3 linked regions of the Yarrowia lipolytica genome follow. The protein of the gene in region 3 interacts with the protein of the main gene of each other region in a pairwise test. Links are inferred from orthologs where the notes say so. Each region holds a gene or a part of one and is shown on either strand. Other genes may lie near its edges.

The links. The genes of interacting proteins can lie anywhere in the genome.
Region 1: the proteins of YALI1_B07162g (region 3) and YALI1_C03378g interact in a protein complementation assay, tested with the Saccharomyces cerevisiae proteins (2 studies listed by BioGRID). The link is inferred for Yarrowia lipolytica from reciprocal best matches to the Saccharomyces cerevisiae genes KEX1 and FLC2.
Region 2: the proteins of YALI1_B07162g (region 3) and YALI1_C33406g interact in binary tests that used the Saccharomyces cerevisiae proteins (3 or more experiments, as listed by UniProt). The link is inferred for Yarrowia lipolytica from reciprocal best matches to the Saccharomyces cerevisiae genes KEX1 and CHS3.

Annotation. Positions count from the first base shown.
Region 1 is NC_090772.1:335,976-341,137, reverse strand, and holds YALI1_C03378g (uncharacterized protein), read right to left. Parts: upstream 3,272-5,162; coding exon 977-3,271; downstream 1-976. Other genes in the region: YALI1_C03415g (uncharacterized protein), read left to right, coding at 1-514; YALI1_C03374g (uncharacterized protein), read left to right, coding at 3,618-3,621, 3,684-4,237; YALI1_C03360g (uncharacterized protein), read left to right, coding at 4,641-4,731, 4,880-5,036, 5,093-5,162. UniProt on the Saccharomyces cerevisiae protein: May be responsible for the transport of FAD into the endoplasmic reticulum lumen, where it is required for oxidative protein folding.
Region 2 is NC_090772.1:3,335,961-3,342,628, reverse strand, and holds YALI1_C33406g (uncharacterized protein), read left to right. Parts: upstream 1-2,011; coding exon 2,012-5,692; downstream 5,693-6,668. Other genes in the region: YALI1_C33427g (uncharacterized protein), read left to right, coding at 1-771; YALI1_C33354g (uncharacterized protein), read right to left, coding at 5,775-6,668. UniProt on the Saccharomyces cerevisiae protein: Polymerizes chitin, a structural polymer of the cell wall and septum, by transferring the sugar moiety of UDP-GlcNAc to the non-reducing end of the growing chitin polymer.
Region 3 is NC_090771.1:714,487-719,028, reverse strand, and holds YALI1_B07162g (uncharacterized protein), read right to left. Parts: upstream 2,822-4,542; coding exon 977-2,821; downstream 1-976.

The DNA.
Region 1 (5,162 bases), on a different chromosome or scaffold from region 3:
CTTTGAGCGAGTCAAGGTCATTCTGCAGCTCCAGGGCCAGGGCAAGACCGGCGGCAAGCAGTTCAACGGTGCCATCGACGTGGTCAAGCACCTGTACAAGGAGGGTGGTCTCAAGTCCGTCTTCAAGGGCTCTGCCGCCACTCTGGCCCGAGATGGTCCCGGCTCCGCTCTCTACTTTGCTACCTACGAGTTCCTCAAGCGAAAGCTGTCTCCCCCCGCCGAGCCCGGATCTGCTGCCCAGCCCCTGTCTCTCGCCGCCATTTCCTTCGCCGGAGGTATGGCTGGTGTCGCCATGTGGGTGCCCGTCTTCCCCATTGATACCATCAAGTCCGTCCTGCAGTCGTCCGAGACCCCCCAGAGCATTTCCCAGGTCACCAAGAGCATCTACGCCCGAGGCGGAATCAAGGCTTTCTTCCCCGGTATCGGCCCCGCCCTGGCCCGTTCATTCCCCGCCAACGCCGCCACCTTTGTCGGCGTCGAGCTCGCCCACAAGTTCTTCACTTCTCTCGCTTAGACGGAGACGCAGACAAAAAGAATGGGAAAAACGAATCCGTCGGATACGGATTGTATAAATTAATGATTTATAGATGATAGAAGAAACTGTCCCGCAGTTTTGTTTCGCAATAGGTAACTGTAGACAAGTTTGATCGCGTCATGAAACGAATGTGAATGTGAGACATCACCAACTTAGCGCAGCTTATGAAACATTCTCATTGTTGGTCGCGTTTCAAATCACGCGACTGGCACGAGCTGGACTATTCTGACTATTCTGTAGAGCCAACGTTAGTGCACAAGTCATGATCATGAGTGAGATCACCTCCTACGACTCAATTGCAGAAGTGGAAACGAGTCAAGAAAGGATGGAGCCATTGTATCCGTTTACGTTACATGATCTACACAGCTCACACACGGCTGCATTCATTCCGTTCAGATAATTCGTGATCGATTGACGATAATAAATATTTACACTTTTTTTTCAATATCCCGGAGGCTGGTATCCTCGGTAGGACGTGGCGGGCGGTGGCATGTCGCGCTCAGAGCCATTCTGGTGAGAGTAGAAGGCTCCACTGCCCGCCGGAGCGTGGTAGTCGGAGTTGACTGTGTGATTGGATAGAGCAAAGGGATCGCGCTCGTCGTAGGGACCGCCAGACAGAGGCCGCTCGTAGCCCGAATGAGGGGCCAGAGTATCTCTGGGAAGCCGGGGCTGAGGGAACTCGTCGTCGGAGGAGTAGCGTCGGTTGGGGTCCCGGTTGACATCGTCGCCAGAGACCATCATGGTGGCTCCCAGAGCATCCAGCTCGGTATCCTGGGCGTCCTTTTCGGCCTGGTTGTGGGGGATGAACGACACTCGGTCGTCTCGCATGGGCTGATATCGCAGATCGGGGTCCTTGGAGAGCAGAGCTCGGACAGACGAGATGATGACCGAAATCATCAGAATGAGCGAGAAGGCGGCGTTGAGCACAAAAAAGACCACAGCCATGATGGAGCCCACATACAGGGGCTGGCCAAAGACCTGGGAGAAGAACATGTAGAACAGTGCGTTGATGAACATGATGGACGCGATCGCAATGTTGAACACGTTGGTGGTTTTATCCATGTACGGCTTGATCCACGACACAATCACCAGATAGACCAGCTCAATGACAAAGTAGACCACTCCCTGGACCTTGCCTGCCTTCTGGGCGAAGGCAATCACCAGGGCTCGGGCCAGATGGAACCCGATGATGACAAGAACATAGTAGTAGGCGGTGGCTCGGAAGTTGACGTACAGAAAACCCCACTTGTGGAGGGTGACCGGATCACCATACAGCATGTAGGCCGGGTTTCTGTAAAGCGACATGGATCGCTTGGCCATCATGATGATTTTAAAGCCGCCGAAACAGAGAAGAAGCAGAAGGGTGAGGAAGGTGACGACGGCGATGACCACCACAGCAGCAGAGTCTCGTTCAATGAGCTCCCACAGACACAGCACGGACATTTGAGGCCAGCCAATCAGCGCCATTCGGTACATGGCGCCCTTGCTGATATACTTCCAGTTCTGGCGGTACTCCTCATACTTTCCGGGGTTCATGACCTTGATTCGGATGAAGTTCTCAATGGTCACCTTGAAAATGATGACCAGGAACACCAGACAGAAGCCGACAAAAGCAAACATGGTCCAGCCCGTAAGAAAGACGTTGGTGAGCTCAATCTTGGACAGAAACGCCACCCGCTCGATTCCTCGAACAATGAGGGTCTTTCCGTAGATTCGGGGATCCTTCTGGTTCTCGGTCTGCGATCCCAGATCATCCAGGGTGCTGTTGTCTCGTTTGAGCAGATGCAAGCCCACGCCCACAGCCATGTCCACCATATCTCCTCGAGAGGCCATTCGTCTTGAGATGGCGTCTTTAGACGAGGCAATGAAGTTGGTAATTCCTTCATCCGAGAGAGCGTTGAGAGCACGCGCGTAAAGAGACCGTTTTTCCACAGACACGGAGATGAGCTGTCGGTTTCGAATGATGAAGGTGGAGGTTCCGCCGGTGGCCTGGACGTACCAGTTGAAAATGTCCTGCATGAACTTGACGTTGACAAGGCCCAGGGTCCAGGTGAAGTTGGACGACCAGGCAGCTGCGATGGGAGGCAGCTTTTCCACCGCCATCATGGAGATGATGGCGATGGCCTGGAAGTATGTGAAGAGCGAGACGGCGTTGGAAGCCACATGGGCGGCGGTGTTGCTGTGGCCCATGATGGCGACGACACCAGCGGTGACCATTCCGATGAGACAAGCGCCGGCGATGATCCACGAGGCGATCTTAGTCTGGACGGTTTTGCCGTTATTGAGCGACGTCTCCACACAGGCCACGATGGTGTTGGGGTCGTCGTTGTAGTGGACCTTCACGGTGACCACACCGTCGAGATCGGGAATGGTGTAGGCGATGCCGGGAATCTGGTCCACCACGTTCTTACTGATATCATTGAGGGTGGTGGTGAAGTCGAAGTTTCCCTTTGCTATCGGACACAGCTGGGGCATATTGTTTTTGCAAAAGTCAATCTTTTCGTTGACTACCTCGATACCGTAGGCCTTGAGCGTGATGGTGCCGGTGATGTTGCCCTCCAGGTTGGAGATGGCCTTGAGGTCGATATTGGCCGTCTGGTTGTCTGGGAAGAACTTGATGTCGAACCGGGACGCGGTGAACTGCGACGACGTCATGCACGACTTGAGCGCGTCCGATCCGATCTGGTGGAGCGCCAGCGCGTAGCTCGCCAGGCTGAGCAGAAAGATCCAATTCATCTTGGTGTCTTTGGTCCAATGAGTGTGAGTGAGTGTGACTGGGTGTGACTGGGTGTGACTGGGTGTGACTGTAGGTGTGGGTTGGTTGTTTCGGGGTAACAGGGTGATCACCTGAGTAAGCTGAGAAAGCTGAGTAAGCTGAGTAAGCTGAGTGAGCTGAGTAAGCTGAATATAGCCGAATGGAGCTGTCTTGACGTGTCTTGAATGTCTCGAGCTCTGTCGTCGTTCTCAGTAACAATCAAAAGTGGTGTACAAGTACAGTGATAACAATTTTAAGCATCATCTCGAGTATCTTTTGGCCCACCTAAAAATAACCTAAACAAAGCACCGAAGATACGCACCCTTCATGCGTATTCTGACATACAAAGACTACACAGCCCGAAGACACAACTTGTAACTACCATCAGCACAGTGCCAGTACGAGTACCGCCGTCGATCCAGAAGAAAGAGACATTCGCACGGTTCCCGTTTTCCGGAGATCACGTGACACGCTCCGCGGAAAGGTCTCTTTTCCCCCTTTCATTTCCCGAGGTCCGTCTCTTCAAAACACGATCCCGACTTTACACTCCTCCATCTTCACGTCAGGGGGCGGACTTTAGACTTTGGACAGTGTCAGATCTGGAAAAGAAGCAACACACGGAGAACTTAGTGATGTGGAGACGCGCGACGATGTTGACAGAAGAAACCAAGTCACGTGGATTGGGACGTTGTTGGCGTCACGTGACGCGGACCGGGCGTCGGTGCTGTGGTCACGTGAACAGAACGGGATGTTGTCGCCCCAGCACCTTTGGACCTATCGCTTTACCGTGTGTACAGTGCAGTATAGTGATTAGTACGAAATGTCCCCCTCAGCTCTTGCACGCGCCAAGTGAGAGGAGAGCACATTCCGGAGAAGAAAATGCCCAGAGTTGCCAGAGTGGAGAGCTGGGCTTCGGTGGCGCAGTGGTGAAATGTGTCTTTTGGTAGTTGGGTGAAGGGTGGGTTCACAGTATACATTGGGGCTACTACCGGTTGCAGTACTTAGACTTTGGCAAATTAGTTGGGAGTTTAGTTGGAAGAAAAGTGGTGCTGGGGGTGCAAATTCAATGATGCAGAGGTTGTAGAAATATAATGAGGACATTAATGGATACGTAATTAGCAAGTTTATAACTAAAATACAACAAAAAACACCCCCTGTCATACAATATTTTCAGATATCGCCAATTGTATGCATTACCATTAACAGCAAACAGTTGGGACATTAGTTGGAAATTAGTTTACGAAAACATGGACAAGCTTTTGCAACGCTGACGCCAATCTCACCCTCCTTCTACTGCCTGGCCTCTTCAGAAGCATTTTTCTGAAATTAAAAAAACATAAATATATTAGAATGGCCGTTCGGAATCCATTGAAACTGCCAGATTACCGATATTCCCTCCGTTTCGTCCTCTATTTGAAACCTCCACTTCACATGCCCCAAAGTGAAGCCTATAAATGAAGCCTATAAATGAAGCGGCTGTAAACTGAACCTACACACTATTTCCACCTGAAACAAGGCGAAATAGCCGTGTCGTAGTCAGCGCCGCAGCTACAGTTGGCGCCACGGGTCCACCGTTTAGGCGTGTTCAGACCAGGTCGTCGGGTCGCCGGTCGCCGGGTCGCCGGGCGGTCTGAGGTCACGTGACCGGCAATTCGCATTCGCATTCGCATTCACATTCGCATTCCCAACGCCTGCCCTGCTGATAGGGTTGCTGCATGGCATAATACCCCAGCTCTTCGTTGCTGCGTGCTGCTGGGTGGTTGCATATTGCTGTTGAACTGCGATGGCAGCAGCAGGGTCAGGAAAAGGTGGTTGACGAGGCAGAACCGAAGCGCAGTGTGGGTTTGGGTAGTGAGTGGCCGATATCGCGTC
Region 2 (6,668 bases), on a different chromosome or scaffold from region 3:
GTGGGCTCTTATGAGGAGTCGCTACTGTCAGGCAGGATGTCTGCTTCGACATCAAAAACAGTCCCTTTCCATGCAGGTATTGGAGTTCTTGGTAAAGGGGGCTGCAACAAGCTGCTGCGATGTCCCAAGCAGATCAATATGTCCTTCAACGCTGGCTTTGTGGTCTGGGAAGACATTGCAAACACCAGCTCGCTCGTCTCAGCCACAGGAAGCCCCTACGTGGGCATAATTTCTCTAACAGAGTACTACCAGGCCCGGTTTGCCAGGAGAGAGAAACGAAAAACGACACAAGGAGAGCCCAGTGAAAGGACCAGAGTCAAAACGTTTCCAGGATACCGGATACCTCCCGTGGGCCAGCTCCAAGTGGTGGTATCCAACCTGCAAAAGACAGCAGTCAAGCTCTTTCTGATACCCTACAACGTTGCTGAAATGCCCAGCGGCACCCGAACATTTATTCGGCAAAAGGTCTATTCTGCATCGAGCACCCCTGGCTCCAAAGGCACCCTAGTCCATGCTGCACACATTCCTATCGTTCGTCTGGACAATGACAAGCTGTATCTTTGCGGGGACATTCGTCTGGTGTTCCAGAACCGAGTGTTGAACGGTGGTGCAATGAACGACACGACCTTAACTTCTCAGGAGCCTTCCAAGGACAATAACGATTTCACCAAGCACTACCTAGGCCTCGGGAGATCAAAGGACAACATGGTGATTGAGGAGATGATGGGCGGATGGTCCAAGGTGTCTGAGACACCAGCATGTTCACAATGAGCGCCGAACCACTCTATTTATTTGCATTAGCGTACAGAACTCTTGCTGACGCCTTACTCCCTACTGATTTGATATTCTTGTGTACCTTCGAAGGTGCATCCCTTTTGGTCATTGTATTTACGCATCAATCCATACCCCATCCTGACATCTGAATGGCTTTGTAATAGTACATACCTTACATACTGTACAGCTCATACATACCGTCGCTTAGTGATAGATTTGCATCAACAGAAATGTGGCTTAACACGCAACCTTTCGCGGGTATATGGTATTTTTTTTATTCTACAGTAGGGAAATACATTGCAGCTACTGAGGGCTGTGTGCACCCAACAGGGTCATGAAACAGGCGTTTTGGGCATATCCGTTTATGGCAGCAAGATTACTGTAATTAATTATCGTCCTGGTAAAATTGCCTTGTCCACCAATACTGTAGATGACGTCATCAGTGTATATTGAGTGGACGAAATGTTGCCCTAACAATAAATATTATTGGAGAAAAGCGCGATTCGCCTCTGCTTTTATCCTATTTACCCGATCATATTCAAGTATTATTGCTGTCTACCTCATTTGCGCCTTCATCCCCAGACGCTTATTAATGCGTCGGCTTTTTATAGGTTGCTCCCAACAGCGGTGACCATAAAATTGAGACACAGTTGACCTGCACACAAACCAGCCACCGACGCGTGTCGGTAGCGAAGTCAAAGTTAACCCCTTAGCTAAAAAGTCGTCTATTTATAGCCGCCTCACGTGGTGCATTGCAGGGACTATTGTCGATGACGAGTCCGCTGGAGGCGAAAAAGCGACAAAGAACCGAAATCTGTCATTTGTTTCTGCGCCGGAAATACTGTACCTGCTTTATGACTCAAACATTGGTGTACTTTTTTTTTAGCCTCCTGGGGTTTACCCTTCGCCATAATAAGACTACTTTGTAGGTGCCCATACAGCTCAAAATTTTAAGTTTGTATATTTTTGGAACGCAGTCCAAGGAAAAACAGAAACCTTCGAACATCGAAATCCTTACTTTACTACAGTACAGTAGCTGGATATTGCACCTGAGCTTCACAAAGTGAGTACATTTCGACTAAATTGTTCAAGCGCGCGGAGCAATCACAAGAAGTGAGTACGCGGCCCACGACTGGACCTGCGTTACGCGTTCTGTTCCCCACAAGACCACGTTTTTTTTTTCTTTTCTTTCTTTCATTACACCCCCTCCCCTGACGTGTGGTCCAACAGCAAACACATGACTAACACAGTGGATTCGTACAACAAATTCGGATTCAACTCGGAGACGGGTGAGCCCAACACTGGCCCCCAGGACACATCTGGCAGTGTCCCCAGTGAACACAGAGGCGACGGCTCGTTCTCCCCCGACATTGGACGAAAGAAGTCTCTCATTCGACCTGACCGAGCTCGACTCGACCCCGACTCGCGAACTTATCACTACTCGCAGCTGGCCGCCCAGCAGCAAAGCAGAATCAACGTGCTTCCCAGTTCCACCGGAAATGACCCTATTCTCGAGGAGCACTACATGCGCGAGACTGGCGAGATCCAGCCTGGTCAGGGATACGATCAGCCCTACGACAACGCCGTGAACCAGGAGGTGCTAGAGGAGGAAAACGAGGAATCATACAGAGAGGGAGAGGAGGACCCTTACGCCTACTCGGGCCGTCAGGTCTATGGTCTCAATGACGAGGTCCAAACCGAGGCCTACGTGCGAAAGTCGGACGAAATCTCCTCATCAGAAGAACAGGCTGCCGACACCCAACCGCCCATCATCGACCCACCTGTCAACGAAAAGGTTCAGCTCAGCCGTGGAGGAGGAACACTGAAGCGACACAACTCCGTCAAGCGACGAATGGGCACCCAACCCAAGCAGATTTCGCTGTGGATGACCTACTGTCAGATTGTTACCTTCTGGGCCCCCGCTCCTGTGCTCAAGATGTTTGGCATGCCCCAAAAAGCCCGACAGGACGCCTGGCGAGAAAAGATTGGCCTCATCACTGTTATTCTTTACATTGCCGCCTTTGTTGCATACCTGACTTTCGGCTTCACCATCACAGTTTGTTCCAGTTCCATCACCCGAGTGCGAAACGGAGAAGTCAACTCTGGAAACCTCATCATTAATGGTAAGCAATACGACTTTACCTCTATGAACCACCCTCCCACAGTCGAGGTTCCTACTGGCGGTAACTTCATGTACCCTCCTGTTAATGCTGGATCCATGGACGGTTCTTTGCTGTTCCAGAACGTCAACAACCACTGCAAGGGTCTAATCACCCCCAAGCCCGACTGTAAAATTCCCTACAACGGCGACAGCGTTGCCTGGTATATGCCCTGCCAGCTGCTCAACCAGGACGGATCTTCCCAACCCAACACTACTGAGCAGTTCTACCCCGGCTACGCATGCCACACTTCCACCACCGCTCGAAACGTCTACTACCACCAGCTGGTTGATGCCGGTGAGGTCTACTTCACCTGGGACGATATCAAGAACTCTACTCGAAACCTGGCTGTGTTCAACGGAGCTGTCATTGACCTGAACATGGTCAACTTCATTCTTAAGGACGACCTCAACTACCCCGAGATCTTTGACACTCTGCGAGATGACGATTCCATCAAGGGTACTGATATCTCTCGTAATATGGCCAACGGTCCTGATCGACAGGCTGCCCGATGTCTGCAAGAGATTGCCAAGGTTGGATACATTGATACCGAGCAGATTGGATGTCTGGCTTCCCAGGTTGTTCTGTATGTATCTCTGGTTTTCATTATCTCCATTGTCGCCGTCAAGTTCCTATTTGCTATCTACTACAAGTGGGCCATTTCTGCCAAGCAGGGAGCTTTCCCCATTGACAACAAGCAGATGAACCAGCGAGAGAACGAGATTGAGGACTGGTCCGAGAACATTTACAGCCAGGCTCCCATCAAGCGAGTGGACCGAGACCAGCCTAAGTCCAGTGCCACTCCCTTCCGTGGCCTCATCAAGCACCGATTCAACCAGCACGACAATAAGAACAAGCGAATGAGCACAATGGTGACCCAGGTTGGTGAGAGTGGAACTGCTCCTTCCGTCTACTCTCGAAACTCCGCTGCGATCGACTCCAACACTGATGTTGGCGGTGTTGTCTACGATTACGACTCTGGATCTCAGCCCTACGAGGCGCCCACCGTCAACGTTGTGCCCCAGCCCCCCATCGACTACCAACCGTTCAACTACCCTCTCGCCCACACCATGTGTCTGGTGACTGCATACTCCGAGTCGATTGACGGTCTGAGAACCACCCTTGACTCTATCACCACAACCGACTACCCTAACTCCCATAAACTCATTGTTATCATTGCCGATGGTATTATTAAGGGTTCCGGTAACGACATGTCTACCCCTGACATTTGTCTAAGTATGATGTGTGATATGCCTATCCCCGAAGACCAGGTGAGACCCTTCTCTTACGTATCTACTTCTTCTGGTACAAAGCGTCATAACATGGCCAAGGTCTACTCTGGTTTCTACGCCTACGATGATGCCACAGTTCCACCTGAGAAGCAGCAGCGAGTCCCCGTTGTGACTATTGTCAAGTGCGGTACGCCTGCTGAGGCCAACGAGGCCAAGCCTGGTAACCGAGGTAAGCGAGACTCCCAGATCATTCTCATGTCGTTCTTGCAGCGTGTCATGTTCGACGAGCGAATGACCGAGCTGGAGCACGAGATGTTCAACGGTATCTGGCGAGTGACTGGTATTCTTCCCGACTTTTATGAAATCATTCTCATGGTGGATGCCGATACTAAGGTGTTCCCTGACTCTCTGACCCACATGGTGGCTGAGATGGTCAAGGATCCCGAGATTATGGGACTATGTGGAGAAACCAAGATTGCCAACAAGCGAGACTCTTGGGTCACTGCGATCCAGGTGTTTGAATACTACATTTCTCATCACCAGGCTAAGGCCTTTGAGTCCGTCTTTGGTGGTGTCACTTGTCTGCCTGGTTGTTTCTCCATGTACCGAATCAAGGCTCCCAAGGGCGGAGACGGCTACTGGGTGCCCATTCTTGCCAACCCTGATATCGTCGAGCGATACGCTGACAACGTGATTGACACTCTGCATAAGAAGAACCTGTTGCTTCTCGGAGAAGATCGATACCTGACCTCCCTCATGCTCAAGACCTTCCCCACGCGAAAACAGGTGTTTGTGTCCAAGGCTGTCTGCAAGACCATTGTTCCCGACAAGTTTTCTGTTTTGCTGTCTCAGCGAAGACGATGGATTAACTCCACTGTGCATAACCTGATGGAGCTGGTGCTGGTCAAGGATCTATGTGGTGTCTTCTGTATTTCCATGCAGTTTGTTGTCTTCATCGAGCTTGTTGGTACCCTGATTCTTCCCGCCGCCATCTCGTTCACCATCTACGTTGTCATTATTGCCATTGTGAGAAAACCTACGCCTGTCATGTCGCTGGTTCTGCTGGCTCTGATTTTGGGTCTGCCGGGTCTTCTCATTATCATCACAGCATCTCGATGGTCATACGTCGTGTGGATGTTCATCTACCTGCTATCTCTTCCCATTTGGAACTTTGTGCTCCCCGTCTACGCATACTGGAAGTTTGATGATTTCTCCTGGGGTGACACTCGACAGGTTGCTGGTGAAAAGAAGGGCTCTGGAGGCCACGACGAGGAGGATGGTGAATTTGACTCGTCTCAGATTGTCATGAAGCGATGGAGAGACTTTGAAATGGACAAGCGACGCTACGTGCCACTGCCTCCCCAGAACGCGTGGATGAGCGATCCTCACATGCCTTCTTACAACCACCAAGGATTTTCTGCTAACTCTTCCCCTGCTCTTAGACCCCAGGGCTCTTCTCATGTCTACTCGGACTCGGTTGCCGGAGCCAGTGACTACAACGTTGCTCAAGGCCACGAAGTACTTTAAGGCGTCAAGCCAAAAGCATATATATAATCATGATAAAATTACCGTGTTAACGATGTGTAGCTAGAATCTGTATTGCAATAAATTAAAACGAATGCTGACCAGTAGCAATTCGGTGTAGGAGCTGGAGGGATCCTTGGATTCCAGCCTCAAAATGTCTGGTGAGATACGACCGGCTGTCCTTGGGGGAAATGAATATGGCCAGAATGACACTGGTGAGTCCGATACACAGAGAGAAGAAGAAGATACGTCGGATGGAAATGGACGACGACGAGTTTTTCTTAGAAAGCTTGTTCTGTTCCCGCTGCTGGTTGCGCTTGTCAATGAGTTTCTGGCGGGCCAAACGTTCGTTTTCCTCCCGCACTTCGGACTCCTTAATTTGTAACGAGAGGTATGAGCTAATCAGCGAGGGTGCTGTAGCGGAAGAAGACATGCTGTTAGACGACAGAATGGACTCTGACGGAGATTCAGCCTGGGGCGATTGCGCAGCTGTCGTCTTCAATACAGAGTAGTTTGACAGTTTATGCCAGGCCGGATAATTTTCCAGCATGGTTTTTGACGCTAGTTTCTGGGCTTTTTGGATACATCGAGACACGGTTTCCTGTTCTGTCTTGGGAAAGGTGTTTAGAACACAGTTGATGATGTCTATGTCTTCTGGGTCCAGGTTGCTGAGTTCATCCGATCTTAAAGACGTTAAGGATGCATAAATAAACAGAGGCGTTGCCATGGTCCCAGAAGCTAGAATGAAATCAAACAAGAGACAGACGGTGTCAAATTCGGGAATGTCGTGGGCAAACCAGGTCAGCACTGACGAGATACCGTACACCGGTCTCACCTCTTTGATTTGATCGCCAGTATGAGAGTCAAGCTCTGTGACCAGCGAGGGAATGAATTCCAAGTGGTCAAGGGTGTAACCCATGGAGGGCAGCATAAAGTCTCTGAGGTAGATGAGCGAGATCTTCTCCAGCACCTGGATGGA
Region 3 (4,542 bases):
GAAAGGTATGTATGAAAGGTATCTCGATAAATATATATATTTCAGCACATGTCCATTTGTTTATACTTACACAAATAGGGGGAATCTGAAATGTATCCCCAGAATTAGCAAAATAAATCTGTATAGTGCCACAATAATAATTATCTGATTGTTTTAATAGTTACTACATTTGTTGTCGTATTATGATTTTTTGGGATTTGCACAAAGCATAATTCTGACTAGAATGTTCAATCGAATCTGTTCAATTTATTATTGAAATGATCCGTTGCTGTATTCACGTTTTTAATTGTTTTGATTGATTATTATTGTTAATATAATTTAGAAGAGAATAGATCTTCTGTAGATTAGATGTTGTCAATAATAATTCTGTGGTTGCAGTTAGTCGAAGTATTAAGTATTACAATCACTATACGCTTTTATCGTTTTCTCACAAGTTGTCACAGCAACATATCATTGGGCAACTTTTTCCCTATAGTGAGACAACTGGCAGTCTTCTCATATTCTATTGAGTTTAATCTATTTTATTTGTAAAAAAAAAAAATGCACACGCCTTTATCGTCTTCTCCACAATTTGTTACTATGAATCACATTTTTCTACATTTTATTTTTTGTTTAGTGACTTTCTCTTTTCGACGATACACAATTCATCACCTCAAACAATGGCAGTGCCTCGAACGAAATGCATATCGCAACGTTTATGATTTATCGAACCCAGCTTACTACAGGCAGAGGTATATAATATATATATATATATATATATATTATATATATAGCTGTAATGAATCATTAGAATAATTTCAAAAAAAGTGGTACGGAGTTCTCCATGGTGCAAGTCAGCGCATGGTGCTGTAGTCAAATTACACAATGTAACTGCCACCAACACAGATACACACGTTTACAATAGAATACTGAGACTAGGATAGGGTTTATTTGTGCTCACGACGGTATTTTATTTTATTCTATCATCCTATGTTTATTACACTTCAGGCCTTCGGATCACAAGCTCTTCGGCATCCTCGTCTTCCTCAGCAATTTCACCAAGATCGTAGTATTCTCCGGGCTCCATCAGTCGTTGCCTGGAGTCGAAAGTACCCTGTTGGTTGGAGAGTGGTCCACCAGAACTGTTTCTCCAACGGGAGATACCTCCGAAACATGAACCGAGGAGCGATGTCTCCTCCTGATAAATATGGCCTCGGTTTTTTCTCCAAAACAGGAATCCTGCGAGCCCCAGGATAATGAGGACAACGATCAGGGCTGTAAATCCAGCCTGGTAGTACGCCTTCCACATGGCATCACTTGCGATTTTCTTATCGTGTTCCGCGTCGTCATCATCGTCACTGGAACTGTCGTCGTCAGATTTTTGGTCGCCAGATTTTTGATCGTCCAAGTCACTGGGGTTTTCACTACCCCTTCCAGGTTTATTACCAGATAGGTCGCTCAGAGCCTTGGAGACGCCAATGAAGTCATTCAGCATTGTCAGACAAGCCTCGGGTTCATCGTAGGGAACCATATGAGAAGCATTGTATATCCTAACATATGTCAGATTTCTGTCACTTTGCTTCTTGCCTTTGGAAACGCCATCGACAACCCAATCGTCGAGCTCCAAGCCCTCGGTCCAACCCTTCTTTCCATTCCATTCCAGCTGTTCAATCATTCTCTCATTTCCGTAATGGTTGCAGATGAGATCTCGATCACCATTGAAAAATAGAATTTCCATGCTTTCCAAAAGGTCAGGTAGCAGGTAAACTGCAGCATCGTCATTTCCCTGTCGCATGCGGGAACCAACTGCTCCATTGCATTCCTGCCACGACTCCTGCTTATCGTTGTTGACATTCAGAGCCTGCACTGTTGCGTCTTGTCGTAGCCAATCAGTGACATATGGCAAAATCTCAGGCCAGTTCATACCACACGATGGCCATTTATCTTCCTTGGATACGTCGTAGTAGTTAACACATATTCCTTCAGATTCTGGTGCACTCCGCTCATTTCTGCTCAGTTCCACAATGCCATTCATGATATCTTCACAAGCTCGAATATGGACGGGAAGTCTCCCGTTGTTCTTGTCCTTGGCGATGTTAATGGCTCGCTCGCAAGTGTCTGTAAGCTCTTTGAGATCCTTCACATGTTCTTCCGTCTTTTCAATCACTCCATAGTCCAATGCGTATGGCACATACTGGTAATATTGATTCGCGGGGTCCATCCATCCGTTTCCAATAAGTAGACCTTTAAGATCGACAGTTCTCGTTTGCTGTAATTTGGTTGCGATGTAAGGGATGTACTGACCAGCGTAAGATTCTCCAGCTAGGTAAAAATCATCATGGGCTCTTTCTGGGAACAATTTGAGGAACTGTGTCATGAATGAATCCATCTCATCCCCTACCTGCCCGAGGCCAGTCAGATAAGAATCCGTGTCCGAATAGGAATAACCAGTTCCATAGGGCTGGTCAACAAATAACACGTTGGCATATTTGTGCCAAGAGCCCTTGTTCGGATCTACTCTGAGCTTGTCATCCACGATGCGGAAAGGGCCCACCTCCAACAGGGCTCCATCCATTGATGAACAACCAGGTCCTCCGTTGAACCACACGATAGTTTTAGGGCGCTCTGTGATCTTGTACTGAGCCTCAACAAGCCAGAAAAACAGGTTTCCGTTATGAGCTGCATCAGTGAGAATGTTTCCGGAATGCATCGTGTAATTGTCCACGCTGTCTAGTCCAGGAATGTGGCGGACGAAGTAGTCCGACTGCGACGGTGGTGCCTCATCAAATTGTGACAAGGCTAGTGAAGCAAGTCCACAGAATAAACTCCATGATAACTTCATGGCTGTTTCTTGTGGTTCGAAGTGGTTGGTGAAGTGGACGTGCAATGAATGATTGAAGTTGACCGAGCTTATTCCAATGCGTTGTGCAGTTCAGGAGTGTCGGGCAAGCCAGAGCTACAAGTACATACTGTATAAACTTGTAGGAATAGTACAGTACTGTCCAAATATGCATGACGAATATAAAACAAGTGAACTAAAGTGTTTCTTCACGATGACGGATCAATCTACTTGTGAGTCACAATGCAAGTGTCACATCCGCATCTTTGGTTTGTGATTACTAACATGACACGCCGCCCAACTGGCTAACCCTTACCTTTTATCCGAAACAGGACAAAAGTACGGCTCTTGAAATTACCACTGGAAGCGTTGTATGTGTGTGAAATATGAGGCTTAAATTTACACAAGCAATTGTGCCCGAATGACCCGCCCTTAAATGACCGTGCTGCGAGTGTCTGAGTGTTATCCGAATACGACGCGTGCTTCCCATGCACCTTCCATCTCTCGCGTTAATTACTTAAAATGAACTCAAACTCACAGATTCCGAAAGTGAAGGTACGGCATGTACTCGTACTCGAATAGGATGTTATTAGAATCAAATATATAGTGTGAGATGCTCTCGTACCGGTATAAACATTACATTAGTACTGGTACGATTGTCACACGTGTATACTTACCATACGAGTAAGGCAGTACAAGTAGTACCAGTTTTAGTACAGACTTCCTTGCACGCGAACTGAGGAGTTCCTGAAGAATCTTTCTGCAAGCCCAGAAGAGATACACATACATACTGTCCCAGTATCAGATGTACAGAGCACGGGAGGCCCCTGCAGTAATGGGTTCGATAAACCCAATAATGCAACAAGTGTGACAAGTATTACTTGTACTTGTACAAGTACAAGGTAGCTAATTTCGTAGTTGCTTAATAGAGAACTTCAGTTGGAGCGGGCCATACTTCCTGCATTATAGGCTGTTGATATATTAAAAACAAGCATAGGCGTTTGTACAATACAGCCGGCTATGACACCAACAAGCAACTGGTCATCGCGCAGCTTGTACAAGTACCAGTACCTGGTACTGAAAATGATGTGAGACTCACAATTTGCCCATCTGAAGTCGATAATATATTGAGTAACTTGTTCAGGTGATATTCTGTCGCTGCCGAAAATATCCCCCACCCCCGGTATTGGACGCTGTATTGAACATTACGTATGGACTCATAGAGTATATATAAGTAATTTTATATATATATATATATGTAGACGAGCGTTAACCTGGTAGCAAAATAAAACTAAACCTTAGAATGTGGTCGCGTGCGCATTCTCCAGGGCAGTGCAAATGCATACTACTGTACTGTGTGTACTATGTACATGTTGATCATGACGTTGTGAATTCATGACTGATGCAAGTACATACTGTATTTGTGCAATAGCGGGACGAGCAAGGCTGTCGGGAGTAGCAGGCAGGGTGCAACACAAAAACGCACATTATTTCTATGAATAAGTCGTACGGCACTCGTACTAGCCACGAGGTTTTGCTGTGCCTTTAGTCACTGAGCTATTATTGTGTCGATAGCCACCCGAAGTCACCACGGAACTACATTTAGGCGCCTATTCTCAGTCATGTGCAAGTACAGAAGGTACATACTGTAACACGAATTACTGATAAACTGTACTTGTACGGGGCCGTGCCTTATAACAGTACAGTACTGTAGCTACCAGATT